Linked DNA regions of Rattus norvegicus. The protein of the gene in region 3 binds, or shares a complex with, the protein of the main gene of each other region. Links are inferred from orthologs where the notes say so. Each region holds a gene or a part of one and is shown on either strand. Other genes may lie near its edges. The genes, in order: Supt7l, Wdr5, Kat2a, Kat14, Taf4, Tada2a and Tada2b.

Region 1 (4,665 bases), on a different chromosome or scaffold from region 3:
GCAAATACACATTCTTTAGGGCGTGGAGGCCTCAGCCTCAGGCAACAGTCTGTCTTCCTTTTCAGACAGGATCTCTAGGGATCAGCCCCTTCCCATCTTCCCTTGAGTCTGTCAATAAAACACACCCAGTTTGTTCTTTATAACTTGCCTTCTCAGCATAGTTGCTGGGAGTTGCCGTCTCCCACCTGGAAAAGCATACCCTTATTAAAATGTTTATCTCTGTCTCTACACCTGCCCCGAACTTCAGTGGCTAGTCCCACCTAGCCCCTGCCAAACATCCATGACCACCCGCCTGGAGCAGTGGCCACAGGCCCCAGCTCTCCCGAGACCTCACACAGTTGCTCCCTTCTTCCTCCTCCAAAGTATGGCAGTAAAACCTTTCCCCTTCCTTGCCTCTCCCTTTTCCTCCTGGGACCCGGAAGTTCCACCTGTACCTTCCTTCCGCCCAGCAATTGGCCCCCAGCTTCCTGTACTGACAAATCAAGAACCAATTGGAGAACAAGACCTTAGCATCAGAACCGCCCCCTTCACAGTAAATTCCGGGGATCTGCCCGTTTCTGCTCCTCTCCTTACAAGCTAAGTTTATAAGCACATGCACCTATGCCTGGGTTTTTTAATATGGGTTTTGGGGATTGAACTCAGATCCTCACGCTTGCAATGGCAAGCATTTCATAGACTGAGCTGTCTCCCAGAAGTCTGGGAGACTTCTGCTGCCTTCTAACAAGTATTTCTTCCTCTAGTCCAGTGGTTCTCAACCCCTTTGGGGAGCACCACTTTCATAAGGAATATCAGATATCCTGTATATCAGATATTTACATTAGGATTCAGAACTGTAGCAAAATTAAAGTTATAAAGTAGCAATGAAAATAATTTTATGGGCTGGAGAGATGCTCAGTGGCTAAGAGCACTGACTGCTGTTCTTCTAGAGGTCCTGAGTTCAAATCCCAGCAACCACATGGTGGCTCACAACCATCTGCAATGAGATCTGATGCCCTCTTCTGGTGTGTCTGAAGACAGCTACATTGTACTTATATAGTTAAAGGGTCACAGTTTTAGAAAGGTTGAGAACTGCTGCTCCAGTCTTTCTCAGAATCTGATCTACACTTGGCTCTGTTGCTAGACTTTTTCCTTTTCTCTCTCTCCCTGCCTCCCCGCCCCCTTCTCAGTACTGAAGACTGAACACATGCTATGAAAGTGATTTATTACTGAGCTACACTTTCAAGCTTTTTTTCTTTTTTGTTTTCTTTTGCTTGCAAAAAGTCAAATTCTGTGGCTTACCATTCAATGAAACCTATTACCTGTCTTTAATTTACTTCTCCAGATGAAGTGTGAAGTGTGAAGGTGTAAGATCTTTGTCCTGAGAGAAGAGTAACAGAAGCAAACCATTGCAGTATAACAACAAGCAGACACTGCTATTTTAAAGGCATGAGCTCAGTGCTCTGCAGGTAAATGAGGGGCTTCCTGGATGAAACGACCTCAGTTCTAACAATATACTACTCAGTTTCTTCTCTCTCTCTCTCTCTCTCTCTCTCTCTCTCTCTCTCTCTCTCCCTCTCTCTCTCTCTCTCCCATTTACTTATTTTCGGTGTCTGTGCATGTGAAAAGCAGAAGAAACCTTGTGAGAGTCAGTTCTCTCCTTTCACCATGTGGGTTCCACGGATTGAACTCGGGTTGTCAGACTTGGTAGCAGGTGCCTTTACCTCCTGAGCCATCTAACTGGCCCCTCAGTTTATTTTCTTTGCTAAGAATGTATTTTATTTTTAATCAATCAATCAATCAATCAATCAATTAATTTCAAGACAGGGTTTCTCTGTGTAGCCTCGGCTGTCCTGGAACTTGCTCTGTAGACCAGGCTGGCCATGAATTCACAGAGATTTTATTTTTATTGTTGTCTGTTGGGGGTTGGGTATGTAGGTATGCTCCATGTGTATGTAGGTGCCAAGGAGATCTGAAGAGGGCATCAGATCCCGCTGGAGCTGGAATTAGAGGTGGTTGTGAACTGTCCTGAAGTGGGCACTAGAAATGGAACCCAGGTCCACTGGAAGAGCAGCAAGCACTGTTAACCACAGAACCATCTCTCCAGCCCCATTACTCAGCTTCTTGAGAACATCAGACATTTTTATAATTGAACCTTTGAGTTGGGATCTCTGCCAGAATCCTCTGCCGCCTTCTACATCTTTGTCAGACTTGAATTTGTTCTTTAAGACAACTGAAATGGCCATCCCCCAACATTTCCCCAACACACCCCCTTTCTTTGTATTCTCACATTCATTTGCTTTTATCCCTGGACCTTAACTTTAGTTTACTTATTCATCTGCATTCTCCCACTTGTTACAGCTACCATCTTCGTATAGTATCCGGGCCTCTGTCAAAGAGTTATAATATAAACTACTGCTTAGTTCAATTTTCCAACAATCTTATTAAAAATAACACTACTATTTGCAATTTTTCAGATGTGGAAGCTGTGGTGCAGTGTCGTGCCAACGTCGTAAATACAAAGAGTTAAAGAGAAAAGAGGTTTCGATGCACAGGTTCGTAAAGCCACTAAACATGCTGCTTCAACAGTTTGTTACGAATAATAAAAGAATGAACAAACAAGAAATTGCTTCTTTCCCAACTTCACAAAAGGAGTAAAGGAGTTATCAAGCCTAAATTCGGGAGCTGCAGAGTAGGAGCAAGATACCTTGCTCGGTATCTGCAGGCTTAGGCTTAGGCGCCAACCACAGGATCCTGGGAAGTCTGATTTACAGGGCAGCAGAAAAATGGGACGTTCTGACCCTGAACCAGAAAATAAAGCTCAAACACTCACCGCCCTGTCTCAGGAGTGGTCTACGCGGCTGCCTTGACTCTGACAGGTCCGAGTCGACGACTAGGTCAAGCCTAGGAGCCTTGTTTATTGATTAATGGGCCAAGGCCACCGGAAGCACTTCTTCCCAAGCGCCCTCTGCCACAGGAAGTTATTACTATCCGGTTGCAACGCCTAAAAATGTCCGTGTTCTGCACAGCACTCCTAGAGCTCCTCCCCCCTTTCTGGTATTGTCACTCCCTAGTGCTATTCACAACTTTAAAGTTCTGTGAGTTTTGAAAGGGGAACTCCAACGTTGCAATCCAGAGAAACGTCAGGGACCTGAGAAGGAGGAGGAGACGTGAGCAGGAACATGGGGGGCGAGGGGTAGGGGTTTCCGAGGGACACATTTTGAGATTGCACCCGTCTGAGGATGGCTGATGCTACCTCTCAGTTAGAAGCGCCAGCACCTCAGGATGTTAGTAGCGAGTTTAAGAAGCCTGTTTTGCCGGTGCCTCCCGCAGTGCGGAGTAAGGCTCCGGCCTCCAGTCCATCAGTTCCTGAAGATGTGAAGAAGGAATGTAGCACGGCGCAGCTAGACTCTGGATGTGGGGAGCCCGAGGTCTCGCCACCGCAGCCGGACAGCGAGGAGACTGGGGGTCCACCGGTGGAACAGCTCCGCTCTCCGAGGGTAGCTCCTGCTTCTGGCGGTCCGACCCGGGCTCCCCCGTACCAAGAGCCATCGTGGGGCAGCCCAGCCACGGCCCCTTACAGTCTCGAAACCCTGAAGGGTGGCACCATCCTTGGTACACGCACCTTGAAAGACACGAGCTACTGCCTTTTCGGGAGGCTTGCTAGCTGTGACATATGCCTGGAGCATCCTTCCGTGTCTCGGTACCATGCTGTACTACAGCACCGGGGGTCGGATCCCAGCGGAGACTCTGAGGATCAGGGGCAGGGCTTTTATCTCTATGATCTGGGAAGTACCCACGGCACTTTCCTCAACAAAACTCGCATCCCACCCCGCACTTACTGTAGAGTCCATGTCGGGCACGTTATTCGCTTTGGAGGCAGCACTCGGCTCTTTATCCTTCAGGTAGGTAGAAAAATCTAAAATAAAAATCGTGGGCTCTTGCTCTCTCTTGCTCTTCTTCTCGTGCCCTCTTTGTCCCTGTCCCTTCTCTCCCCATCTTCCCCTTTCCCCCCACGTGCCCATGGCCGGCCTTTCCTCTCTTCTTCTTCTCTTCTCTCATTAAACCTTTCCACATTGAAAAAAAAATCTTGGGACTTCACTGTGCTGGGATTCTGAGTTTCTTTAAGGTTTAGTTGAGAAAAAAAGATTCTTCTAGTAACCATTGACAAAAGCATAGGGGCCCAGTCCGGAGCCACAGATCTGCATAACTGCAGTGTCTCAGAAAGTAATTTCTCCACTTTTTTTTTTTCCGGAGCTGAGGACCAAACCCAGGGCCTTGCGCTTGCTAGGCAAACGCTCTACCACTGAGCTAAATCCCCAACCCTCCTTTTTTTTTTTTTTTAACATTTGTTTACTTATTTTATGTATATGAGTGTTTTCATGCACACCAGAAGAGGGCATTAGATCCCATTACAGATGGTTGTGAGCCACCATGGGGTTGCTGGGAATTGAACTCAGGACCTCTGCAAGAAAAGCCAGTGCTCTTAACCTCTGAGCCATCTCTCCAGCCCCAATTTCTCCACTTCTTAATCCACATACGTATATACTTTTTCCTTGATTCATTAGGGACCAGAGGAAGACCGAGAGGCAGAATCTGAATTAACAGTAACACAGTTGAAGGAACTTCGCAAACAGCAGCAGGCGTTATTGGAGAAGAAGATGTTAGGTGAAGATTCAGATGAAGAAG
Region 2 (4,670 bases), on a different chromosome or scaffold from region 3:
ATGCACAAGGTACACAGATTTACATAAAGAGGGGAAAACCAAAGTAAAATAAAATTTGCCCTGGTGTGGTGGTACACACCTTTAATTCCAGTACTCGGGAGGCAGAGGAAGGTGTATCTACAAGTTTGAAGCTAGCCTAGTCTAAAGAGTGAACTCCACTCTCTTGCTCTCCCTCCTTACTCCTCTCTCCCCATTCCCCTCACCCTTCTCTCTCCATGTGCTCATGGCTGGCATCCCTCAACTCTATCTCTGCCTTTCTCGGTCTCTGCTACCCTCTCAACTCCCCTCCCATGCCCTGAATAAACTCTACAATATACTGTTGACTGTTGTGTGGCTGGTCCCTCAGGGGAAGGAATGTCTCCGCATGAGCCTGCAGAGGCACCCCCTCCCCCCACACCATTCCCTCACACCATATCTCTCCTCCACCAAACATATTCCTTCTCTCCTTATTTTTATAAAACACACGCACAAAAAAGGCATACTCTGTGCTGTGTTTTATAAAAAGATAAGAGAGGAAGGAATATTAAAAAAAAAAAAAAAAAAAGCGTGAACTCCAGGACAGTCAGGGCTACACAGAAGAAATCCTGTCTCAAAACAACAAAAAGGTTCTTGGGACTGAGCTGTTCATAGAAGAGTGTTCACCTAACATGCATAAGACCACCTCACCCCCCCACAAAAAAACAGTGACTCTAGGGCTGGAGGGATGGCTCAGTAGTTAAGAGCACTGACTGCTCTTCCAAAGGTCCTGAGTACAAGTCCCAGCAACCACATCTATAATGAGATCTGATGCCCTCTTCTGTGTGTCTGAAGACAGCTACACTGTACTCAAACAAAATAAAAATAAAAATATTCCCAAGAAAATGGGTAAAAAGGAGAACATGACCGCAGCACTGAACCCTACAACAAATAAACTGCTCCAAGCTGGGGATAACTGTACCGAGGCTGCAGCTTCAGGTGCTCTGTGTGATGGATGGTCTACTCTTGAACCTTCTGTGAGCCTAAGACTTAAGCTTCAAGAAGGCTTCCCACTGCAGTATACAGATGTGTACCGGAATGTGAGCTCTGCTTCAAAGATTCCTTGATACAGTTTTTTTTTTTTTTCTATTCTTTCGGAGCTGGGGACCGAACCCAGGGCCTTTTGATACAGTTTTTAAAAGGCTTTCTAACAGAAACAACAGACCAAGTGACAAGAGTAGACCTTCTGTGCAGAAGTTTGGAAACTCAGGCAAATTCTAAAATACACCCAAAGAATTTGAGGAAACACAGGAGTCTTGTCTGTACCTGGTGGCCTCCACCTCGGCTCCCTTTGACCTCACAGGCTGCAAACTGCCTTCTACAATGCTAAGAGCGTACAGAGCTCAAGGACTCTTGCACAGAGTACTATAAAAAGAGCTACAAGAAAGAGTACAGCAAAGTAGACACCGCCCCCATATGAAACCTCCCAGGAGGAGTAGCAGGAAGAACATCAGAGAAACTGCACCAGAAGAAGCTGCAGAGCTGAGGGAAAGCAGTTACTCCCTTCAGCAGTGCAACTGCAACAACTTCCTACAGTTTACAGGCCATCCCGTGACTGGGAAGTGAGTTAGTGCTCCTCCAATGGAGCGCTCCTAAGACATGCAAACATCACTGGCCATCATGATCCCTCAGCCATCAGTGTAAGGAGAAATCACGATGCACAGCCTAGCTTTGAGACTAAACCTGACACCTCACACAGACCCCACGGGAGACTAAGAGGAGACAACACCAAAAGAGACCAAAGCCTCAGTCTTCAATCCTAGGAAGGAACAGTAACACCCACCACACAGGGCACAGGTGTAGCCTGCTCCACCAAGGTCAAATTCTGCTGTAGCTCAAGCCCAGGTGCAAGGATCCAACTAGGGGTAGGTCCCCTGCCTGGGTCCCTCCACAAAGCAAAGCTCTTGTGCCCAGGAAATACCAGCTGCTTGGTGTTTTTAGCTTTTTGGAGACAGGGTCTTGCTATGCACCAGTATTCAAAATCCTGCCTCAATAGCCGCAGTATGGTTGGTGTAACAGGCATAAATCAACTCCCAGGCCTGACCTGAAGCTGCTTAACGCAACTATATGGCCATGAGTTCCCAGAGCCAACATGTTTGTGGATCATACAGGTAGCAAGAGGAGCTGAGAAGATGTTAAGTAATGAGATAGAAAGTCCTACCACATCTCCCTGCTTCAGGGAAATAAAAGGCCAAGGGAGCAGGGCAGATCTCTGGGGTAGGAAGTCTCGAGGAACTAAGCAGTGTCTTTTAGCATATAAAGAGATTCACCTAGCCTCGGGTGAATGGCCTTGCAAAACAAGCACGAGGATACCCAACCCTGCCCATCCCATCCCACCCTTTATAAACTGATTCTTTCAGGAAGCCAAATATTAACATATGAAGACACTGGGTGTGCACCACACTTTGATCCCAGCTCTAATAAGTTCACAGCCCCAAACAACCAACCAAAAAAAAAAAAAAAAAAAAAAAAAAAAGGAAAAAGAAAAGAAAGAACATTAGCATTAGCCAATCTACCTCGCAGCATTCAGGAGGTTCGGGAATTCATAGTTAAATGTGAAGCCAGCACCAACCTGAAACCGTCTCAAAGGAAACCAATTTCCAATTCCACTGGGTAGAGTCCAAGACAGAGAGCACTCAGGTGTTCTGTTTTAAGGTCACCGGAAAGCAGGACTTGAAGAGGACAGCTCTGGGAGGGAGGTGTGTTAAGCAGGATCCTCAGCAGGTGGTTTGGAGCTGGCCTCCACGGCCCACAAAGGAGGCAGTTAACTGGCAACCGCAGCTTTACACTACAGGGAACGTGATCATGGAAGGGCAGCAGCCATCAGTCTCCCTCCAATCAAATGCAGATTCCTTGTTTCCGCCTTAGACACTGAGTACACAAGTATGGGAAGACAGAATGGTCCAGTCACTCAGGTGAGTGCAGTAGGTAACCCAACAAAGAGCTCCAACCCATCCTCTCTGGACTACTGGATACCCCTAGGTCCTAGTACCATTGGCTTCACACCACTGTACTCTCAACTGCCTGGCTGACCCAGACAGTGCTCAAAACCCACTTGACCAGTCAGCCCTCGTCAGGTAGAAACTTGCACTAGGACACGGGTGAAGGTTGTGGTGGCAGCACGAAAGCGCCAAGTGGCCAAGGAAACCTGAGAGATGCTAGCTGGGTGTCCCCACTCCCAGGGACGCCAGCCTGAGGTGTGAGCCACGAGGAGCTCGCAGGGCTACGGGTCTAGGGGCGCAGCAGGGGCCGCAGTGGAAGTAGCGAGCCGTGGCGGCCACAAGGGGCGGCGGGGTCGGGGCGCGGCCACAAATGCGGCGCCGGGCCCGGCCGGAGGCCCACGGAACACGTGCGGCGCTGTGGATCCCGAAGCCCGTGGGCCCTCGTGGTCGCCGCCCCCCTCGCGCCCGCAGGACCGGGTCACTCCCTTACCTGCCGGGGCCGGGGCGGCGGGGCCGGGCGCTCTGGCGTCGCCTCGGCTGGCCCTGCGCGCGAGAGCAGACGATCTGGTGGACCAGTCGGCCGCGGCGCGGGAGGCGGGAGGGATTGCGCGTGCGCGAGGGGGCGGGGCAACGGGCGGCGACGAGGGTCAGAAAAATTAGAGGAGACGGAGCGCCTTAAAGGGCCCACCTATGATTCTTGCTTCCTATTTGACCGCCACTAATTTTCAGTGCCTGCAGACCGGAACTCTCTGCAGTTAAAGATGGGTAAAAATGTGCTTATGTGCCTTTCCTGTTAAATTCCAGGCTATGTCGCCAAGCTAATAGCAGCTTGCCTGTCGTGGCCTGTGCCTGCCCTGGACTCTAGGAAACCCTCTTGGTGCCACTGGTGGACGTCCACGAGGTCCGGAAGTCCGGAGCGCCTGCGGTCTCCCCTGCCTACCGCAGGGCGGGGGCTTCCTGCCACTGCAAACCACAGCTCAAATTGAACATACTTGCCTCTCTTCTAAGCTGGGCCACAAAGAGACTCTGCTGTGCACCCCCACACTCAGAAAAAGATCTTAGGAACTATCGCCGCAGGAAAAGCTCCCCTGCGTGTCCAGGGAAGGCAGGAAAGAAGGGAGCTTGCATGCTAACAAGAGAGGAGCTACCTGACTTAGAAGACAAACAAAACTGTGGACAGGAAAGGCAAGTGTCACTAACACAGGGGCTCCGAGTCCTCCCCAGCCTATGCATGCATCTGGAACCAGGCAGTTTGTTCTTTAGTGTAGGTGTCCATCGCTCACATTCCAGGCAGCCGCAGCATCCACTACAATTGAGCTTCCATATGGCTCTGAAGCTCCATTTTAAAGGCTCTATCTCATTTTCACAAGATAGCCCCTGGCAGGTTTTCTGGCCTGCAGTTAGCAAAGTATTCACAGCCCTCGCTCCTGTGGACCACCTCTACTCCTGTCACTAATGGGGGAAACACCCAGAGAGGAAGACACAGACACATAAGGAGAACCTGGAGCCAGGTCTGCTGCACTAACTCACATGGTCTCAGACTCTCTTGGAGGTGGCCATGGCCTGTGCAGCCTTATCTTCCAGTCTAGGAACATCAAATATAACGTGGGGAGCCTGTGCAAAGGAGCATTGGAGGCTTGAGAATGTATAATGTGTGGTTGCCATAGCTACAAGAGTGCGAGAAGCCTGGCAATTGGCCTGGAATCTCCTTCT
Region 3 (3,270 bases):
TGATGTTCTTGCCCTCCAGAGCAGGTAAGATCACTTCCCACTGGTAGGGTCGCAGCTCCATTCTGGAATGGCAGAGGGTTCAGAACACGTACCCTCCCCTTCCTGCCGGACAGCCCAATCAGCTGCAGAGGCTGTTCTTAGCCAAGAACTCATAGATACCTACCTGGAACTTACCCTGGCCAGGATTAGGATGGGGTTTGGAAATGAATAGCAGACTAGCCTGGTCTCTGCTGAGGTTTCTGAAGCTCTGAAAAGCCCCAGGCTGACAGTTCAGTCAATGAAGAGAAATGAAACTGAAACAAGGGGAGGAGCCAGACGGAGCTGGAACCCAGCCCAGCCACCAAAAGAAATAAAAGTTAGACTGGAAAGGGAGATACTGGCAGAATAGGTAGGCCTTCACTGCTCCTGGGCTCTCTAGCTCCTCATGTTTTCAGGGGGCAGTAACCCCCACCCCCGGGCTGAGCTTAAGGCCTGGAGGTGCGGGCCTTGGCTGCCTGCTTCCTGGTCCAGGAGTCAGGGAAGAGACAGGCATTAAGGGCAAGCTCTTGCTCTCCCTTTGCAGGTGAGACAGGCTGGAAGCTACTGGAGCAGAAGAGGTGAGGGATGGCGGTCAGACAGGCCCATCACCCCACCATATATAGCAGGGGTCAGTGGCACCACTGTAGCTTGAAGTTAGGCTTCCAGGTAAGAAAGGGAAGGACTAGAGGAACGAGGGTCAATCTGTTAAGTCTGGAGCTGGACACCCCCCCCCCCCAAATAATCACACAGGGGGAAAAAAAAAAAGCTTTATTGTTCCCTCCAAGGGATTAATGCCAAGGAATGAATGGTCCTCCTGCCCCCAACCCCGGGGGACAGGTGGACAACAGTGTAGGACGAGCCGAGGCCCCTCATAGTTCCTCCAGTCTGAGCTGTTCCCACGTCGAGGCTCCTCACTGAATAGTCCTGGTCCCGGGAAACAGGCACCTGGACCAGGCTCAGGACGCTCAGCCTGCATAGCTCGGTAAGGACTAGCAGTTCATTCCCTGGCCACCAGACATTCTACAAGGGGCTGGCCCCAGACCAGACACCTCCCTAATGTCGGATGCAATGAAGGTGGGAAGAGAGCTGCAGGCTTGGGAGTAAGTGCCTGCTGGCCAAAGTCTGCAAGATTTGGGGCCCCTGGCTGGAGTTTCTCCCGCTGAGTCAGGGAGAGGGGGTCCGGGAGCACCCAAACGGATCTGATGAGACAGAGGTGGACAGTGCAGACCCCAGTTGGGCACTACTTGTCAATGAGCCCTCCTTCTTTGAGCTTGAAGTAGAAGAACTTCTCCAGGGCACTGGCGCAGCGACAATATTCGCTGTCTGGGGGATTGTACTCCCGGCAGTTGGCGATGACCCGCTGCAGGTCGGCTACAAAGAGCTTCCGGGTCACATAGTAGCGGCTGCGCAACCGTTCTGTCATGGTCTTCAGGTCTGGGTCACAAGGGAGAAGGCACATGACTTTAAGAGGTGAAAGGAGAAAACTGAGGATGCCCACCATGCTGGGTACCTGACTCCGCACAGACAGTAATAGATTGGGGCACGTGTTAGGGATGAGAGTACAAGGGTCCTCACCAATGGGGAAGCGGATAACCTCGTAGTAGTCAGGGGCCTCCGACTTCTTCACAGGTTCCATGAAGGGCCAGGCACTGGGGTGTGACTAGAGAGAACAGATGAGCTGAGGACAGGCCCAGTGTTCACTGCCCAACCGCAGACTGCCACCCACTTCTGTTACCGACAAGAGGACCTTGGCCTCCCACCTTGATCTGAGCCAGCAGGTTTTTGAGGGTCGTATACAGCTGGTCAGGGTCCTTCAGCTCCTTGCTAGAAATGAGAGATATCAAGTCTGAGGTCTGGGTTCTTCTGCCCCATCCTACCCCCCATTCCATGTTCATTCCCCTTGACTGAACACTTACCCCTTCTCCTTTCCCAGTGGCTTCCAGCCTGTCTCTCCTGCAAAGGGGGTGGGGGGGGTGGGGAAACATCTCTCAGAATGCCTGCCCATGCCCGGAGAATGCCCTCCTGCCCTTTCAGCCAAGGCCCCTGCTCACGAATGCCAGGGACGCTCTCCACAGGGATCTGCCTCACTCCTTCTTTGAAGCAGCTGAGTCCAGGGTAAACCTTTCGGATCTGTGCCTGTTTGCGCTCAATCAACTTCTTGATGATCTGAGGAAGCAAGGGTCTGAGGGAGCCAGCTCAGGCCCAACCACCCCCAAGACCATGGTCAGTAAATGGCAGCATTTACTTTTGGCTTTTTCTAAGAGGCAGGGCAGGAACTTACGACCTGGTGTGTCTCTACCACACATAAACACACACGTACGACAAGTCTCAGTGCGTTAGCTCCCCAGTGCAGACCCGCACAACCCTGCGCAGACATGTGTACCTCCTTCTGCTTCTTGATGATGTGGGACAGCTCTGTGTAGGGGATGCGGGGGTTCAGCTCACACTCCATCAGGGTCGCTCCCTCATAGTCCTTGATGTAGCCCAGATATCGGCTCTTGGGCACCTTGATGTCCTTGGAGAAGCCCTAGATGGGTGGAGAGTTAAGACCCAATCCATCAGCCAGGTTTCTCCAGCTTTCACAGTCTCTTCTCTGGTGTAGAGCATGCCTCCTCTTACATCTCTGAACTCCGTGTGCCTCTGCAAAGGCTCCAGGACGGCTGTTCCTCACCTCCTCCAATCCCCAAAGGACCTTCCAATCCCTGGCCTTGTTCTTCACTGGGAGCAAACAGGAAGGGGGGGCGGGGCTTCCTCACCGGTGCCGGGTGCAGTGGGCAACCAAAAGGAGCTCTACGGGGCACTGTGCACACAGACGGTGCCCGAGGTGGCGGTGCAGTGATTCCGAGGCTCACCTGCTTCTTGAAGTAGCCGATGGCGTACTCGTCGGCGTAGGTGAGGAAGTACAGGATGCTGTGTTTGATGTGGTACTCCTTCAGGTGATTCATCAGGTGGGTGCCATAGCCCTGTGGGGGAGACGGAGCAGGGAGGTCAGGTGGCCAGCAGAGGATCAGAGTTTGCGGAGAGAAAGTAAAGGGTTTCTAGATGCTCCTCTCTCAGGGCCAGATTCCAGGTTGATTCTTCAAAGACCCATTTGCCAGTTAGCCCATGACTAGGTCAAAAGCCCCATTTCGCAGGAAAAACACCAAAAAGACCCTGATAAGTCAGGTTGTGTATGAAGAACAGTCTGAGGTCAGTGGACCACGGACGCAGCAGAGCTGGGCTCCAACCCAACACGGCTGGGGTTTCAGAATA
Region 4 (4,675 bases), on a different chromosome or scaffold from region 3:
CTCTTTATTTTTAATTTAAGGCATATTAAAATAAAACCCAACAATTTAATATAACCTGGAGATCAGTAAAAAAGTTACTGTCTAGAGTGCTGATATTTGAAACAGTTAAAAGTATCTATCCATAAACAAAGACTTGTCTCCAGGTTCCAATGCAGAAAGGCTACAGCAGTTGGTTACACTGTCTTTGTTATGGAGTCAAATCTACTTCCAGTGTGGCCATCTCCTCTGTTATGCTCGAAATGACTGCCAGACGGAGGTGGGCCTAGTTTTCAGTTGAGTGTAAGCTTGGTAGGACATAAATGAAATTGACTAAGAGTCTCGAGAACTCACTAAATTAGCAGCCTTGTTTTAAAACCGCGAAGTCTTCCGTCCACACATTGTGTGCGCATGTCCACTGTGAACTGTAAAGCGCCCTCCCCGCAAACCGCTCTAAAGCGCCTCACTCTGGATGGCCACCCGGCCTGACGTGCCCAGAGAAGAGCTCTGTACTCACTTGCTGCCATGTCAGCTTCAGCCTCTCGGACTGCTCCTTGCCGTCTGCCGAGCAATCGGCACAAGTAAACCTGAAAAAGTTATCGCCCTTAAGGTAACTGAGCTGTTCCCTCAGCTGACCTAGGAGAAAAAACAAAAAGTCACATCACGGATTTGCCTCGTGCCGTGGAGATCCAACAGCTCAGTTAACCGACTAGCTCTCCGAGTTTCCCGTGGTAGATCTTTCTTCTTCTGCAGCCATCAGGAGAGTAGTGGAGGAGAGAAAGAGAAAAAGGTTGTTTCCCCTTCTGCAGCCAGGTGCCTGCCTCTCCCAGACCTAAGGCTCCTTAGCTGTTAGGGGGAAGGTCCTGGAAAAGCAGGTATGGTTGCTCTAGCTGGATCTCCCAGCAGTCACATTCCTGACTCCTCTAGGCCAGTCATCTTCATTCTTTCAGGGAATACTCAGCTGGTGCCGCCAGCCACACCAGGCTCGAACTGGATATGCAATGTCTAAGGCAGATAGGACCCACACAAAGAACACAGGTAAACAGGACTGTACTGGTTGTAGATTTCCGTGGAGCATCGGAACCACCCAGGTGGCTGGGCTTTATGTCCTTCCTAAGGTCAGGTCCACCCCCTTATGGAATGCTCCAGTCTCTGGGGTGGGGGCTGGGCTCTGCATTGAAGCTCCCAGGTGATGCTGATGCATTGTGCAACATGAAAACCTCCAGAGCAGAATGTACCTTGCATCCCAGGGCAGAGTAAGGACAGAGAAAGGGATGCTCAACCCCATTTAGGAAGGAATAGAGGTCTACTGGGCCCAGGGGGAACAGCCACTAGCTAGAAGAAAGGGCTGCCTGAGGGACAGATGTGCAAGGGAGCCACCCAGGTGCATATTCCAGGGAGAAAACAAAAAGGTACAAAATCCTAGGAATCAAAGAGTTGTAAAGAATGAAAAGTCCACCCTATCTCCCTAAAAACCTTAGTAGGGCCCAACCATAAAAGTCCCCTTAAAAATCTGGGGTTGGGGGGTTGGGGATTTAGCTCAGTGGTAGAGCGCTTGCCTAGGAAGCACAAGGCCCTGGGTTCGGTCCCCAGCTCCGAAAAAAAGAAAAAGAAAAAAAAAAAAAAATCTGGGGTTGGGGATTTAGCTCAGTGGTAGAGCGCTTGCCTAGCAAGCACAAGGCCCTGGGTTCGGTTCCAAGCTCCGAAAAAAAAAAAAAAAATCTGTCCGGTGAGGACGATGGGAAAACCAGTTTTTACTAGACAGCTGAGAAACAAACACCAGCTAAACAGTCAATTCTAGGTCTGTTCTCTAACCACTGCTATTATTAACCTATTTACAGTAGCTATTTGAACAATTTAATTCATTTTTAATAAAAGTTTCAACATACCAGAAAATGACCAACTTCATTAAGAGTTACACTAGCTATGAACTCTTGTACAAAGCAACCCTCCAGGGCACATGCCTTTGCTCATCTCTTGCCTAATGGAGAACACTGTTTAAGAGTCGAGAGGGCCTGGCGAGGCATGCTACGTACGGAGCTGGCAGCTGGAACCTCGAGATCTGTGCGCTGTGACTCCTGCCAGGATGAACGAGTTCCACGGTAGAAAACAAACCTGGGCTAAAGGCAGCAACCAAACACCACTGGACTGCTGATCCCAACCTTCCCTCAGGAGACAACAGCAGTACTCCACGAATGTCAAATAACTCACAGAACCTGAATTCTATACTGACACCAGAATGTGTCCCCCAACCCACAGCATAATCTTCTTAGAAAAATATGGCCAATGACTTAATACAGGATTCCTAATTTTTTTTGGGGGGTGGGGGGCTACCATCCAGAATGTTAACAATGGGATAATGGTAGACAGTTCTTATTAATACAAATGTGGTTTTATGGGCCTGGAGAGATGGCTCAGCAAGTAAGAGAACTTAATTTGCTTGCAGAGGATACAGGCTCAATACCTGGTGGCCACAGTGGCTCAGGACCATATGTAACTGCAGTTTCAGGATCTGATGTCTCTTTGACATTTGCAGGCACTGCATGCACATGGTGACATACACTCGGGCACACACACATACATATAAAATGAATGACTGTTTTAAAGAACTAAAAAAGTGGTCTGGAATAAATTTACATTTGGTAAACTAGACTACTAATAATAAATATAATAATTATATTTTTATTCAAGTCTATTTTATTAGTGTTTTTCACAGACTGGAAACAAGCCATCACATAGGGATCAACCAAGCAAAGGAATCGAGAAGCTCCTTACTGGCTGGGATCCACTTTTGGCACTTGTCACAGAAGTAAGACAGCTGCTCCTCCATCCATGATATATCTCCTTCATCGCTGTTGAGGGAATCCCCACTCTGGTCGTGAGATAAGTCCACTGATGCCTGATCCTCTGATTCCACAATTAGGAGAGTCTCTCCCTCCACCTCACCTTCCTCCAGCCCTTCCGAGGTAGACGTTCTCGTGGCTTCATCATCATGCCGACTTAGGAGCCCACTCAGGTGGATGCTACTATCCATCGCCCCTGCACTCCTAAGCTGACAGGCACTGTTGCAGGGATCCCCCAGACAGACCTTCAGAAGAGCATTTGCCCCCAAGTACTCTCTCCACACACGACAGACTCTTAAAAGAAGCAATTCAGAAGACAGGACCACTGTCCTTCAGTTAATGAAGTGTAACTGGATAGTGATTTTGGGGGCAGCTCTCACTAGCTATTCTCTACCACACACCGCACCCACAGTTACACACACCAACTCAGCGCTGCCCCATCGGCTTCTCAAAGTCAGGTATTTTGAGATCCTTTCTCCAACATCTTCTCTCTTTCTGCTTCAAGTTGCTTAGTCAAAATAATCTGTTCTCCCAAAAGACGAATGTTTTCTTTTTTCTGATTCTGCCTCTCAATGTCTCTGATCACTCCGTCACGAAGCCTCTAAAAACACAAGAAGCAGATTTTAGTTACCCCCTGAACAGGTGGCTCCCATCCTGTGCCTTCAAATCTAAATAACAGTGCCACCAAAATACACTCGAAATGTTCCAATTCTAAATACCCAATTACTATTTTAACCTTCTGTACAATGTAAATAAAGAAACCACCAAGTAAATCTGGTAATGTGTTATGTTAATACTTAAGTGGCTTCTCATCACATTTTAAGAAATCCCTGAACACAGAAAATTTAAAGGGAATTGATTTTAAAAAATTAATTTAAAAGGCTGCACTATGCTGAATTTTATAAATTTAATTGGAAAGTGATACTTTTAAAATCTGATGAATCAGTACAGAAAAACTGTAAACTATAAGCAGTTACCTAAGACAAACAATAAATACCAAGAAAAAGAACAGTAAGGGTGTGAGAAAATACAGGACTTTATCATGTAAAGGCAGAAATATAAAATTCTCAATCAATTAGATTAGAAAGAAAGAAAAAGGACTATTACCATTAAATGATAAGTTCCTCAGGGGTCATTACCTTGAAAAACACTAGACGCAGAATCTCGGAATGTGAACCTGGTGCCTAATGTGAATTTAAAAGGTCTGCTCCGTCACTACTGCAAATACTCTATACTTTGTAGCTCAGAGGGGCATATTTGAAACAGACACTTCATAAGAATTTTTTTTTTTCGGAGCTGGGGACCGAACCCAGGGCCTTGTGCTTGCTAGGCAAGCGCTCTACCACTGAGCTAATCCCCAATCCCTCATAAGAATATTTTTGGGTTGGGGATTTAGCTCAGTGGTAGAGCGCTTGCCTATCAAGTGCAAGGCCCTGGGTTCGGTCCCCAGCTCCGAAAAAAAAAGAAAAAAGGAAAAAAAAAAGAATATTTTTATTATTTTTTTTTAAATTTTATTTTATCTGCATGGGTGTTGTGGCTACAAGTTATGCAGGTACAGTGTTGAGGCCAGAAGAGAGTGACCTATACCATGGCACTGCAGCTACAGATAGCTCTGGACTGAAACCCAGTTCCTCTACAAAAGCAACCAGTGCCATCTCTCCAGTTCATTTTTCTTTTCAGAGTCAGCATCTGCATCTTTCTATGTAATCTTGACTGTCCTAGAACTCATTATGTAGACCAGGCTGGCCTCAAACTCACTGAGATCTGACTACCTCTGCTTCCCACCTATCTCTGTTTTTAAAGACTGGCCTAACAAAGAACCAGAATCAACCTAGCTGTTCACCAACAGATGAATA
Region 5 (4,000 bases), on a different chromosome or scaffold from region 3:
TGTGTTTTTGAAAGAAACCAAAATTACCAAATTGTCACTATAAATTATACTGTGAATGTCTGATATGTATCCCCTGTTGGGGTCTCGACCTACAGACTTTTGGGCAGATCTTCTCAAATCTGGCGTAAGGATCTTATGATGTCATCAACATGGCAGAATCAGTGTCAACTGAGACACAGGCCTTTGGGAATGCCTGTGGGTGTTTATCTTGATTTCACCAAGACCCTAAAGTGGGTAGCATCATTCCATGGCTGGGATTCTGGATTAAGAGGAGAACAGCAGCTAAGCAGTGTTAACTCCCTGCTTCCTGACTCTGGATGGAAAAGCAGCTGCCTCAAGCTCCAGCCATCTTGACTCACCCGCCCTGACAGACTCTGAGCCAGCATAAACCCTGTCTCCTTCAGTCACTTCCCTTAGTCTCTACAGCAACAGGAGAACACTATCGTACGTAGCCTTCACCACATGCACCCGACACGTGCTCTGTTTTGGTGCTACTGTTAACAACATGCTCCAAGTTTTCTAACCATTTGTTTTCTCGTCCCTGGAGTGTAGGATTACAACTTGGCTGCAGGCCTGAGTGTGGCACGGAGCTCACACCCCGCCTCGGCAGCCAGGCTTACAGGGGTGTCTATCACACACCCCTATACCCATCCCCACGGTGTACAGGATAAGGCCTAGAATGGGAAGAGCACAGCATCTCTGGTGTCCTCTGGGTGAACAGGACAAAGGACTGGCCAGTCCAGAAGGGGGCCTGTGCTCGTTTAAGTCCATGATTCAGAAAGACCAGAGAGAGACTCGGAAATGGGAAAAATAGGCATGACAAATACAGATAAATTTGTTTTTAATAAAGGAGTTAATTTTCTTTCAATCCTATATAAAACAATAGCAATTAAAAACTTCATTTCTGAAAGTAAAATATTTACATATTAACAAGTAACTGTGCAAAATTTACATGAAAAAATGGAAAGACGGGGATTTCCTAAAAGATAAAATGAAAGGTGTAACAGTTCTTGGGTGTCATAAAAAATACTGATCAGCGTTCAGTTCACACGTGCGAATTGAAGTCTAACATGAGAATCCACACGGAGAAAGCCAAGTATTTACAGTCATAAAAGTACTATCATAGACAATTTAATACAATAACCTCTGAAAATATAAAGAACCAATTAGTATATTTGTAATAAAAAAATAGGTACAAAGAAGGGGCTTTGCTCTGGACGCCTGTAAGGTTGGCCACAGCTTGCATACAGTCTCTTAGCAAAATAATTATAGTTTACATAGCCATCTTATGTTATGTGCCAAAAATTATGTACAATTACTGACAAAATACACCAACCATTTCCAACACTTGATCCACACTGAGAAACAGTCTGCTGTTGATTCTTCTCAACTCTGATTTTATTTCATCTAAGTCTTCACTCTGAGCTAAAAACACAGTGCAAGTAAAATATATTTATGCTGAAAAGGTTCTCATTTCCTTCCACTTTACAGCTTCCAAACTGCAGCAAATAAAACATATTTGTACAGGTGCTGCACCCCGGCCTCCATTAGCAGAAATGGGACCCTGCTTGGAGGTTATGATCCTGGGGAGTTTCATATAGAAGGGAGGTAAGGGACAGGGCGGGGAGGGGTGATAAATAGTCTAAAAAATCAGTTTGCTTCGCCAACTGACTGCTACAACGTAAAATAAGAGATGAGGTCATCGGCTGTAGACGGACACCTAGCGGGTGAGTCAGGGTGAGCGGAACCAAAACGCACACAGGATGAGCAACTGCTAATTATTTGCTAAGCGCTTCCATCAGTCTTTAAATATGGCTTGTTTGGCAAGAAGGCCACTCAGCCGAGGATGAGCTCGGGTCAGCTGTCCTGTGAGAGCATCCACAGGCCTTTGTGTTCTCTCTGCTGCAGACACGGTTTCTGCCGCACTGAAGAGCTGATTTATAAACAGGAGTATAAAACTGCTCCATTGTAAAGAGGTGGCTGTTTTTAAACAATATCCCATTTGCTTGTTACAAAAAGGCGTAATCTGCAAATATATAAAAACGTCCGCAAGCGTCCCATCAGAAACGCCGGCTCATCCTGTTACTTAAGGAATGCTTTGTAGAGCAACAGTGAATGGCTTGTCTCACGCTCATTTTCTAAACAAAATATGAGGTCCCTGAGGTTGACCCGCGTGATTCTTTGCCGTGTGAACTGTCTGGGGGTTCCCACGCCGGAGCCGCCTGGGACTGCTGCGCCTGGGCCTGAGCCCTAGTGAGGAGAAGGGAGAAGACACGTGCATTAGTGACGGTGGAACAGTCAGGAGGCGGAGGAAGATTCAAGTATCCCAAGAATTTGAAGGAAACAGGCATGGACAAGCCCCTTCCTTCCACTGTCCTGTTACTTAAGTCCCCACTCTACAGCACACTCAGGATACCCACCCGCTCCAGTGTCCTCACAGACTTGGTCCTGAGTGGGAGAGAAGACAAAGCCAAGGCTCTGAAGTGCCCCCACTCCCCACACACACAGCACAGTACTGCCCAAGAGGCTCAGACGAGGGGAGACCAAAGAGCACACTTGGACTGTGCCATTCCCTCCTTGGCTGCCAGAGGCACTAGGCCTGAACTCATGGACAGGGTGGGCTGCTGATCAGCTGGGGAGGCCGACTGCCGGTGATCACGGCCAAGGGAAGGGAGTTCTCTGCTCCCCTAGCTGGCTGATCTCACCACTGCCTCCATCTGACCCCTGCTGGGCTCAAACCACAAGCTCCCCATGGACTCAGTAGAGAACCAGGTATGTGTCCTGCTGGTTAAACTGCTCATGTGTATTCAAGTAACCATGCTGCAGTGGCATCCTCACTATGCCTCCACAGTCAAAGCTGAGGAAACTCAAGTACCACCTGCTACTCGTGAGGCCACAGGGGCCCAGGAGTCAGTAGACGGCAATCATAGGAAGCTGGCAGGCAGGTCAGGTACAAGTGTGCCTGCATGACCTGGCCACAGTTTCTTCATGCATATGACAGTCCAACTGAAGAGAGGGTACTTTTCCTCAGATGCGGGGAGACACCACTGTCCATCTGTGGCCCTGGCCTCCACCATCACCTTAGTAGCCATGTCGTTTCGGGTGGACAATTTCCTTGGATGTTGTTGGCAGCAACAGCTCTAAGTAGTGTTTCACCCCTGAGATTAGTGGTGCCTCTTAAAGGGCCACAGTGAAAATGTGCAGTTGGTAGGAATGAGGGAAGCCGTTGGTCTCCCAAAAGCCACCTTGGGCTGTGCTTGGGCCGGCATACCCATGAGCCTCCTTCTAGAGGGTCTTGGTGATCTGGAAAGGAGCAACAAACCAGTTTCTGGGAAGAAAGTCTATAGAGGAGGGTCTCCAACAGAAGCAGCAAGAGGGGGCTGCTGAGACCGGCAGAGTCTGCAGGTCTTGGAGCCCTGTAGCAGGTTGAGGTTGGTCTAAACTGCCTCTCCATTTTCAGCAGTGACTTCACTCTTCTTGCACTTGCTAATAAACCTGATCTAAATCACCTGACTACAGGCCCAAGAGAGAAATCCAGGTGACAATGACATGGTGCCCTGGCCCACTGAGACTCTGCCTGGGCAGCAGGGTGGTGTGTGGCCAGTGTCCAGGCTGTAGTTCATGCCTCTACTTTTAGGTTCAACAGCCAACAACAGGGCTGGGAGGAGCAGGGAACACTCATCTCAGGCACAATATTGAACAAGTTCTAAAAGTTAGAAACTGAGACAAACAGGATCAACCTGGGACCTACACTTTCTGACAAGCATTAATGAGGCCCATAGCTTCATGTAAGCACACCAGCCTGGGCTTCCAACCCGGTAGGACAGCTGTCACTGCTCAAACCTGAGGACAGCAGTCAGGTGAAAACAGGACACAGATTCTCGATTGTGTTCTGTGGGCCTTATAAGCAATAGGAGGTGACTCAGTTGTAAAATCAAAAGTGCAGGCTGAGGCACAGCACAATGGATGTTACGTCACTTCTGAGCACATTCAGGGCTGG
Region 6 (4,044 bases), about 17 Mb from region 3:
ACTAAAACGGCTACTAAATAATTACCATATTCAGAAAAGGGAAAAGGACAGAGATACATGGAGAAAGAAACTTAGTTCTCAGTCTAAATACTTGAAAAAGGAATGAAAATTTCCATCAATGTCATCATTACCATTATTTCGTAAGTATGATCACTCTGATGTTTCTTGTACTCAAATCCTCTAGTGAAACACTGTGGAAAAAAAAAAGTTAAATTACTAAAAGCTACTTTAAAAAAGTATTTTCTTGGGGCTGGGGATGAGGCTCAGTGGGTAGAGCACTTGCTAAGCACACACAGCACCAGAGTCAACCTCAGCACTTGGGAGGTAGAGCTAGAAGAATTAAGAGTTCAACGTCATCCTCACTCAGCTACACAGCCAGTTCTAGGGGTGCTAGGCTACAAGAGACAATGTCTTCAAAAATCAAAATAAGGGGGCTCAGCAGTTAACAGCACTTGACTGCTTTCATAGGCCCTGAGTTCAATTCCAGCAACTACATGGTGGCTCACAACCATCTGTAATGGGATCTGATGCTACACTGAATTAATACACGTAAAATAAATAAAAAATCTTAAAAATAAAAATAAAAGCCAGGCGTGATAGCACATGCCTTTAATCCCAGCACTTGGGGAGGCAGAGGCAAGATCTATGCAAGTTTGAGGCCAGAGAGGTCTACATACACAGTGAGTTCCAGAACAGCTAGGGCTGTGTAGAAACCCTGTCTTAAAACACTAAAAGTAGCTCTTTCTCTTCTGGTCCCAGATGCTGCGGGGCCGTGCAGACATGGCCAAGTCCAAGAACCACTCCACACACACGCACGCACGCACGCACGGTCACTCGCACAGAGTGTCCCACAAATAGCATGGAAATGGCATCAAGAATCCCTGGTCACAAAGATACAAATTTCTTAAGGGGGTTGATCCCAAGTTTCTGGGGAACATGAGCTTTGCCAAGAAGCACAACAAGAAAGGCCTGAAGAAGATGCAGGCCAACAATGCCAAGGCAGTGAAAGTGTGTGCAGAGGCCATCAATGCCCTTGTGAAGCCTCAGGCCATAAGCCCAAGATGCCAAAGGGCCTCAGTTGCAAACTCAGCCGTCTGGCTTTCAGCGCTCACCCCAAGCTTGGGAAGTGGATTTGAAGCTACATGGCCAAGGGTCGTAGGCTCTGCCAATCAAAGCCCAAGGTCCAAACCAAGGCAGAGGCCACAGCTCCAGATAAGGGCCAGGCTTCGGCTCCAGCTCAGACTGCCAAAGGTGCCCAGGCCCCTGTGAAGGCCCCATAGAAAAGCCTCCTGCCAATGTGAAGACAGATGGACCACTGTGACACACCTGCCTGCACACTATCTGTAGGTGACCAGTGTCCTATGCTGTTTTTACAAATGAACTTGAGGCAAGAAAAAAACAAACACCAAAAGTAAATAAATAAACTAAAATAAAAAACAAGACAAAAGATGGTTTGAAGAGGCTCTTTTTTTATTTTTATATATTTTTATCTTATTTGAGGCAAGAACTCATGTACTTCAAGTAGTCTAGTCTGGCCTTGAAGTCCTCCTCTTCCTGTCTCTACTTTCCAAGGCCTGAAATTACAGGCCTCTACTGACACTATCAACCTGATGGAATACTGTCGTCTTAAAGCCATTGTTTTGGGTTTTTTTCTCTTGGTTCTGGTATACTGAAAAGAATTTTGCTATGCAGTCCAGGCTGGTTTCACCTTCCCTCCTCCTATCCATTCTCTCCCCATGCCCAGTATATAATCTTTTTTAAAAAAATTTTTATTTTTGGTTTTTCAAGACAGGGTATCTCTGTGTGGCCTTGGCTGTCCTGGCACTCTGTAGAGCAGGCTGGCCTCGAACTCGGAGATCTGCCAGTCTCTGTCTCTACCTGAGTGCTAGGATTCTAATATATATTCTTATAACTCAAAGAGAATCACTTTTTTACATTTTAACATGTCTAAAACGGAATGGTGTGTGTGTGCGTATGTTTGTAGGTGCACACACCTATGCACGCCCTTACGAAGGCCACTATTGGGGATATTCATTTATCACTCTCTGCTTTGTTTTTTGAGACAGGGTCTCTCACTGAACCTAGAGATTGTGGTTCAGCTCCTCCTAGCTTCTCCACGCCCTCCCCAGCACAGGGCTACAGGCAAATGCTACCATGCTCAGGTTTTACAGACATTGGGAATTCAAACTCAGGTCTCAGCTTGCACAGCACTTTACCCACTGAGCCATCTCTGCCATGTCTGGAATGTGTCTTAGAATCAAGTGTCTTAGAGTGGGTAAGTCCTGATAATCCCAATGAGCAAATTATTTAGACTGTGGCTGAATTTCATCTGTAAAATGGAGATATTTACTTACTCACTTCCCAGCGCTGTAGTGATGATTTAGGGGTGATAAAAGTAGGGTACTCTAAGCAGTACCTGGCACACCTAACCAGTATTACTCCTAATATAGCCCACAAAACACTCTGTTGCCTTGTCATCTATACCAAGACCACTCTAATAAGTTAAGCAGTGAGGTCAAAAGGAACACCCTGCCAGCTAGGAATCCTGTAATCAAAGTCTTTCAGTTTACTCCGGAAAGTGGTAAGCACTGAGCTGTGCAGCTCTGTGGAAGTCATGTCTGTCTCACCATCCGTTCCTGACCTCCCCGGTAAAGTCTACAGGGAAGACTACCTGTAGGAAGAGAGTTCATGCAGGGTGGTCCTAAGCTACTGAGTTACTATATCCACAAAACAGACCAGGAGAGACACTCTCCTCAGGGAGTTACCTGCAAGCACAGGAAGAAAGGAGGAGGCCCACATTCAGCACATTTAATGTAAGGTTCCATGAGGTAGGAGGAGCAGCCTCTGCAAGGTGGCTTATCAGATGGATCATCTGGAACATACAGAAAACAAACATCAGCTTAGAACTCTACAAATGGCTGAAGACTGACTATGTTACAGACGTAAGGAAGCAAAATGAGTTTATTGCACACATACAAACAAGAGCCACCCTGTCCATTACACGGCGGCGTGTTCCTTCCTCCAGAGAACCTACTGCTTCAAACACTAAGCAGAGAAGGCCCCTGCAGAGAAACTCATAAACACAAGTTTTAAAGTTTTACAGAGCCCACCTGATCACAAGGAAAAGTAAACCAGGCACATTCCCCACACAGTGCACACATACAAAGCAAACCAGACAAAAGGTCAACAGTTGTTCTACCCAGGCAGCAGCACACAGGCGCAGTCACTGCTCTGGTCTTTCATGTTCTCTGCAAGTTTGAATTTTTTTCTTAACAAGTTGGAGGAATTCCAGTTTAGGATTTAAGCTTTGTGTCTAGGTTTGAGATACCAAGGAAACGGCAAACTGCTGCATGCAGGCTCTTGTTCTGAACTAGGAAGGCAATCGGCACATATAAATTCTCCAAAGCCCTAAGTCGGAAGATACCTTTGTTCCAGGTTGCCCTAAATCCTGCCTCTCTGAAGTGAGAGCAACCTATTGTTCTCTGGCTTGCCCCTGGGATGTGGGACAAAGGCCTAGGGAGGGAGATGAGGGGACTTACTTTGTTCAGCTATCACATTCTATAACAGCATTTTCCTTCTTTGCTCTAACAGCCACTTGCTTTACAATGAAGTCATGGAGAAAACTGACAGGGTAAAGAATGTCCTGCCTGGGGGTTGGGGATTTAGCTCAGTGGTAGAGCGCTTGCCTAGCAAGCACAAGGTCCTGGGTTCGGTCCCCAGCTCCTAAAAATAGAAAAGAAAAAAAAAAAAAAAAAAAAAAGAATGTCCTGCCTGAAGCTTATTCCTTTTGCTGTTTTTAAGACAGGACCTTACGTAACCCAGGCTAGTCACCATCTACGACCTTCAACTCCTCATCTATCTACTTCTACCTCCAAAGTGAAGGGATTACTTCTCTTCTACCACTTCTGATTAAAAAAAAAATAAAATATTAAGTGCTAGATGTCAGTTTTTTAAAAATTACGTCTATTTGTATGTCTGTGACACATGCATTTGAGTGCAGGTGCCAATGGAGGCCAGAAGAGGGTGTCAGATCCCCTGAGCTGG
Region 7 (4,738 bases), on a different chromosome or scaffold from region 3:
ACAGCTGTCTGGAGCCTCTAGGCCTGACCTGTGTGTGTTGCTGAGGGCCACCTCTTCCTCAGTCACTCTCCCTTCTATGGTATGAGCGCTCTGTGACTTCTCTGTGGTACAGGTCTTAGCTATGGCTGGTATGAAAGCCTTCTGGTGGTACTGCACCTCCACTACTGTATCAGTAAGCTTCTGGTCTCCAACCACATTACTTAATGCTCTTAGTGCTGTAGTGGAGGTCCAAATTATAATCACACCTAGTTATCAGGGGCAAAGCTATGGAATTCTTGGCAAGTAGCTTTTATTCTCAAAGTTGCCGTCTTTCAACTGCAAACTAAGACCATAAATTCACCCCCACGGTGCTGCTTGTGCAAGTCACACGACATGTACATAAAGGGTACAACGTAGACTGGCATAGGTTCTATACAGGTCCAAAGTGAGACATGCTTCAGTGTAACAGGATATAAGCTCGGAAAAGAGTCACAAATCCAAGATGTAGTGCTTTTGATGGAGAAAAACAAGGCTCAGAGGAGTAAAGCAACTGGCCTAAGAGAGCACAGATAGAGGGGGTCACAGTGCCTCCTATTCCTGAGGCTCAGTGGCTGCATTCTCAGCCTGACCCTGAGACTCCTGCTGCTTCAGCAGGTAGCAGTCCATGTGCTACACACAGGCAGCCAAGCCCCAAGGCTCTTCCCCTTGGGCTTTACTCCTTCCAAAGCTAAGACTGGGCCTTATGAGAACTTGCATCTTAACTTAAGCTCCTCTGGCCTTCAAGCCTGAAAGTACTGCTTCAGAAGAGGCCTTCCCCATCTAGCCTGTTTATTCATCCACGTTTTACATGCTTTAGTTCCTGAGTGCTGTGTGCTTCTGACTGTACTACATGAATGGGGCACAAACATGAGCCCAGGTACAGACTCTACAGACCAAGATTTCTTTCCTTTTTAACAAAATAAGATAGAACAAAAACCATAACATTGAAGTTGGACAAAGCAAACCAACAGAAGCAAAAGAGAAGGCACAAGAATCAGAGACCCACCATTCACACTTGGAAGTCCCATAAAAAATACTAAACTGAAAAGTAAAATACATACACGATAGCCTGGTGCAGACCCATGCCAGCCCTGTGCTTGCTGCTTCAGCTCTGTTCATTTGAGTTCATCTGAGCTGTGCTCAGTTCATTTAGAGGGCCTTGCTCTCCTGGTGTCCTCCCCTCCTCCCCTCTGGTATCTTCCCTCCTCCCCTCCTCCCCTCCTCCCCTCTGGCTCTTATGTTCTTTTCACCTCCTCTTCTGCAGGGGTCCCTGACTACAGCCCATATTTCAAGAGATAAAGTAAGCTCAGGGCTGGAATTAACACTCTGGAAATAAGTGCTGCGGAGGAAAGAAAGGCCCTCCAAAGCAGTGACATGCAAGGACAAAGATCAGTCAGTAAGTAGTCTTGAGGTGAGAGCACCTCAGGCAGAAGAAAGGAAAAATGATCAAGGCAGTAAGCGTGAGCTCACAGAGAACCATAGACACTGTCAGGCCTTGCAGGCATTGTTTGTAGTGTAATTTAAGAAGCAGCAGTACTGCAAGTTGCTGAGGGCCAAAGAGATACTGCTTATGCTTTTAAAGCCCTATGGTTGTATGTGAGAAGGGCTATGAAACAGAAGGAAGAGGCAGGTAAACCATGAGCAGTAATCACAGGAGGTAATCCGCATCTGGTTCTGGCCGGAATTAGCAGCTACCTTCTGCACATCTTTTTAAACAGATGACCACTGACCAACTAGATGTGGATGAAGGCTTTAGGTTGGCTCTGTGTGTAACTGAGTCTTCACAGGCAATCAGGCGGAGAGGGATCATCAGGTATGTGACAAGCTCCAGGAACAGAGCAAATGAATGCCACACTTTCTGCTCTGAGGCTCTTCTTCAAGGTCCTTCATGCTGCCTGATCTGTACAAAGCAAATGCTCAATACACACCAATAAACACCACTTACAGACAAAGTAACCCATTGTTTTTGGAGAGCAGGAGCCATGGTGTTTGCCACTGGGACGACATCTGTGGAGTAGAATCCTTCCTAAGTGGGGAAGTGGGTCCAGAGGGCCACTCATATGATGATCAGGAACAGGAGGGCAGTCGGCTGGAGCAGGGGAAGCTTGGAGAAGCTAGAGTCAGAGGGTCTTAACATACCAGGGAAGATTCTGGACAGGACAGGGTCGTGCTTAGCTCCCTGCTTCTCTGAAAGCCTAAAGAGGCTACATATTCCTGGAGGCAATGGTGACAATGCAGCCAGATCTCTTCCCTAACACAGGTGAGGAATAGAATGGAGAACTCCTTAGATACCCCTAGAGAACACCCAGGAGCCCAGCACACTATCTGGCTGGCACACACGAAGGCTCTTGTCACCAGCAAGCCACCTCTACAGAAACCTGACAGCTAGAAAGCAGACCCCAGGGTCCATGCCTCCTCAGGAAGACGCCTTTGTTCATTCTTTACTGCCCACCCATCACACCGTGTCCTGGGTTCTGTGGAGACTAAGAATTAAGCAAGACACTTCTACTCATAGAGAACCTTAGCACAGGGCACATGCTGACACCTACAGAAAGCACACGAAGCCCCGAATGCAGACTAGTGCAGGCGGTATGGGCAGCCCAGGCTTCTGGCCTTCCCCACCACTATGCTCAGGAGAACGCAACCGTATCAGGGGAACTCAGCAAGCACCGTGGGATCTAGCTCAATGCCATCGGACACAAGGATAAGCCTGGCAAGGCACAGGGCCTACCCTCCACCCGCGTTCAAAGCACACCTCTTGAGGACGAGTGTGAAGGGCAGACAGCTCCGGGTCGGGGCCATGGGTCAAGGCCCTGCTCTACCAGCTGTGTGGCCGCTGGTGACCAACACATTCTGGGCAGAACCGCCTGACCACCTGCGGCCCTCCGCAGCGTGCACCGAGTCAGCCAGCCATGCCCTCCCCCTAGCCATAGTCCGCCGCTCACCCAGTTGCCGAAGCCGAACTGCTCGATGGCGTCCAGTAGCAGCTGCTCCTCGCGGCTGGTCCAGCCGCCCTCTGCCTCAGGACCCCAGAGTGTGAATCGCCCGCCGTCTACCAGCTGGTAGCCGTGGTAGCGGCGGTGGTGGCCGATCTCCGCGCCGGCCGAGAAGCACTCCGGGCACAGCTCGATGTCCTGGCACTCTGTGCAGCGGAAGCGCAGCGGGCTCACCTCGGCCAAGCAGTACACGCAGTACTTCTTACCCAGCTCCGCCATCTTCCCCCGCTCGCCCGCCGCCCGGCCCGCAGCCGCCGCGCCCCCGGCCGTCAGCGCCCCGCCGCCTGCCGGGCTCGCTGCGCCCGCCGCGCCCGCGCCGCTGCCGGCCGCTGCCACGGCCGCCCCCGCCCAGGCGCCGCCGGAGCCGGCCAGGCGGGCCGCGTCCCGCCTCAGCACGCAGGCGCCCTCCGGCCCGGCCCGGCCGCCGCCGCCGCCGCCGCCGTCTCCCCGCCGCATCGCGCAGGCGCCCCGCGCGCGCCCCCTCGCGGACAGCAGAGCTTTTGCTCTGCGCCTGCGCGCGGGCGCCTCCCGCTGCCTCATGGACTGGAGAAGCCGCAAGGCCCCCCCCTAAGCCTGTCAGCCGGCGGGGCGCGGACCGGAAGTCGGCCACGTGAGCCACGCCTCTCGCAAGCCAGCGTCCAATTAGCGCCTCCCTTCACCTGTTCGCAGATCTTCATTGGCCTAATATTACCGGGAGGTGGAGAGAAAGGAAAAGCAAATGACCAATCGCGGGGCCCACCGCGCGCCCTGGTTGCCCCGGGAAACCTAACAGCAGGCATCAGCGGGGCTCAGACCCGGGCCAGCGGGTCGAATATGGACAGCCAAAACGGGGACACCGAGGGCGAAGGCCGAGCCGAGGAAGGCCTGATCAGGCAGCCGCCCGAGATTAAGGTTAGCTCCGAACCTCTGACTCCGGCGGACCCTACGGAGCCGGAGCCGGAGCCGGAGCCGGAGCCGGAGCCGGAGCCGGAGCCGGAGCCGGAGTCGGGGCAGGAGCCGGAGCCGGAGCCGGAGCCGGAGCCGGAGCCGGAGCCGGAGCCGGAGCCGGAGCCGGAGCCGGAGCCGGAGCCGGAGCCGGAGGCTGAGCCTGAGCCTGAGCCCGAGCCCGAGCCCGAGCCCGAGCCCGAGCCCGAGCCCGAGCCCGAGACCCAGCCGGTGGCGGACAGCTTAAAAGCAGAGGCTTCAGACGAGCATGAATACACGCCTGTTGAGGCCCCGGAAAGTCCCAGGGACTCTGAGGTCGCGGGCGAGGCAGTAGAGGCTGCGAGCGAGGCGGTATCCCAAGAGCCAGAGAGTCTGCCACAGACCAAGCCCAAGACCGAGGCGGAGCCCAAAGAGCCGGAGGACAAAGACGAGGACGAGGATGAGGATGAGAGCGACGAGGACGAGGATGAGGACGAGGACGAGGACGAGGAACTCGACAAGTCGGAGAAGAAGAAGGGGAAGAGGGAGAAGACGAAGGAGTCACGGTTCCGGCCCTCTCTACCTCTGACCACGATTGTTGAGGAGGCGGCTGCCCCAGCCCCACGAGCTGCGAAAGAGAAAGCAAAGGGGCCACAGAAGAGAGACAGTGAAGAGATCGAGGTGATAGGTGGAGAACCGCGCAAGAAAAGCACAGAAGAGCATCTTCAACCTGGAGAGGAGAAGGAAGAAGGGGAAGAGAAAGTAGAGAAAGTAGAGAAAGAGGCGGACGCTGATGAGTTTGAGTGGTCGGCGGATGTGCG

The links.
Region 1: Kat2a (region 3) and Supt7l share a complex: the UniProt entries of both Homo sapiens proteins name them as parts of the STAGA transcription coactivator-HAT complex. The link is inferred for Rattus norvegicus from reciprocal best matches to the Homo sapiens genes KAT2A and SUPT7L.
Region 2: Kat2a (region 3) and Wdr5 share a complex: the UniProt entries of both Homo sapiens proteins name them as parts of the ADA2A-containing complex. The link is inferred for Rattus norvegicus from reciprocal best matches to the Homo sapiens genes KAT2A and WDR5.
Region 4: Kat2a (region 3) and Kat14 share a complex: the UniProt entries of both Homo sapiens proteins name them as parts of the ADA2A-containing complex. The link is inferred for Rattus norvegicus from reciprocal best matches to the Homo sapiens genes KAT2A and KAT14.
Region 5: Kat2a (region 3) and Taf4 share a complex: the UniProt entries of both Homo sapiens proteins name them as parts of the TFTC-HAT complex. The link is inferred for Rattus norvegicus from reciprocal best matches to the Homo sapiens genes KAT2A and TAF4.
Region 6: Kat2a (region 3) and Tada2a share a complex: the UniProt entries of both Homo sapiens proteins name them as parts of the ADA2A-containing complex. The link is inferred for Rattus norvegicus from reciprocal best matches to the Homo sapiens genes KAT2A and TADA2A.
Region 7: Kat2a (region 3) and Tada2b share a complex: the UniProt entries of both Homo sapiens proteins name them as parts of the TFTC-HAT complex. The link is inferred for Rattus norvegicus from reciprocal best matches to the Homo sapiens genes KAT2A and TADA2B.

What each region holds. Positions count from the first base shown.
Region 1 is NC_086024.1:30,652,147-30,656,811, reverse strand, and holds the start of Supt7l (STAGA complex 65 subunit gamma), read right to left. Parts: upstream 2,885-4,665; 5' UTR 2,810-2,884; intron 1-2,809. Other genes in the region: Slc4a1ap (kanadaptin), read left to right, coding at 3,219-3,881, 4,545-4,665.
Region 2 is NC_086021.1:31,233,944-31,238,613, reverse strand, and holds the start of Wdr5 (WD repeat-containing protein 5), read right to left. Parts: upstream 2,869-4,670; 5' UTR 2,588-2,868; intron 1-2,587.
Region 3 is NC_086028.1:86,131,783-86,135,052, forward strand, and holds the end of Kat2a (histone acetyltransferase KAT2A), read right to left. Parts: intron 2,982-3,270; coding exon 2,871-2,981; intron 2,546-2,870; coding exon 2,402-2,545; intron 2,185-2,401; coding exon 2,070-2,184; intron 1,972-2,069; coding exon 1,935-1,971; intron 1,843-1,934; coding exon 1,779-1,842; intron 1,679-1,778; coding exon 1,594-1,678; intron 1,453-1,593; coding exon 1,259-1,452; 3' UTR 753-1,258; downstream 1-752. Other genes in the region: ATP-dependent RNA helicase DHX58, read right to left, coding at 1-61. UniProt on the Homo sapiens protein: Protein lysine acyltransferase that can act as a acetyltransferase, glutaryltransferase, succinyltransferase or malonyltransferase, depending on the context.
Region 4 is NC_086021.1:152,193,154-152,197,828, reverse strand, and holds the start of Kat14 (cysteine-rich protein 2-binding protein), read right to left. Parts: upstream 3,270-4,675; 5' UTR 3,011-3,269; coding exon 2,752-3,010; exon of another isoform or gene 2,656-2,751; intron 1,015-2,655; exon of another isoform or gene 613-1,014; coding exon 494-612; intron 1-493. Other genes in the region: protein PET117 homolog, mitochondrial, read right to left, coding at 3,274-3,420. UniProt on the Homo sapiens protein: Component of the ATAC complex, a complex with histone acetyltransferase activity on histones H3 and H4. May function as a scaffold for the ATAC complex to promote ATAC complex stability. Has also weak histone acetyltransferase activity toward histone H4.
Region 5 is NC_086021.1:187,394,808-187,398,807, forward strand, and holds the end of Taf4 (transcription initiation factor TFIID subunit 4), read right to left. Parts: intron 2,251-4,000; coding exon 2,083-2,250; 3' UTR 825-2,082; downstream 1-824. UniProt on the Homo sapiens protein: The TFIID basal transcription factor complex plays a major role in the initiation of RNA polymerase II (Pol II)-dependent transcription.
Region 6 is NC_086028.1:69,501,439-69,505,482, forward strand, and holds part of Tada2a (transcriptional adapter 2-alpha), read right to left. Parts: intron 2,873-4,044; coding exon 2,766-2,872; intron 192-2,765; coding exon 132-191; intron 1-131. UniProt on the Homo sapiens protein: Component of the ATAC complex, a complex with histone acetyltransferase activity on histones H3 and H4. Required for the function of some acidic activation domains, which activate transcription from a distant site. Binds double-stranded DNA.
Region 7 is NC_086032.1:78,502,659-78,507,396, reverse strand, and holds the start of Tada2b (transcriptional adapter 2-beta), read right to left. Parts: upstream 3,243-4,738; 5' UTR 3,234-3,242; coding exon 2,964-3,233; intron 1,225-2,963; exon of another isoform or gene 1-1,224. Other genes in the region: Ccdc96 (coiled-coil domain-containing protein 96), read left to right, coding at 3,828-4,738. UniProt on the Homo sapiens protein: Coactivates PAX5-dependent transcription together with either SMARCA4 or GCN5L2.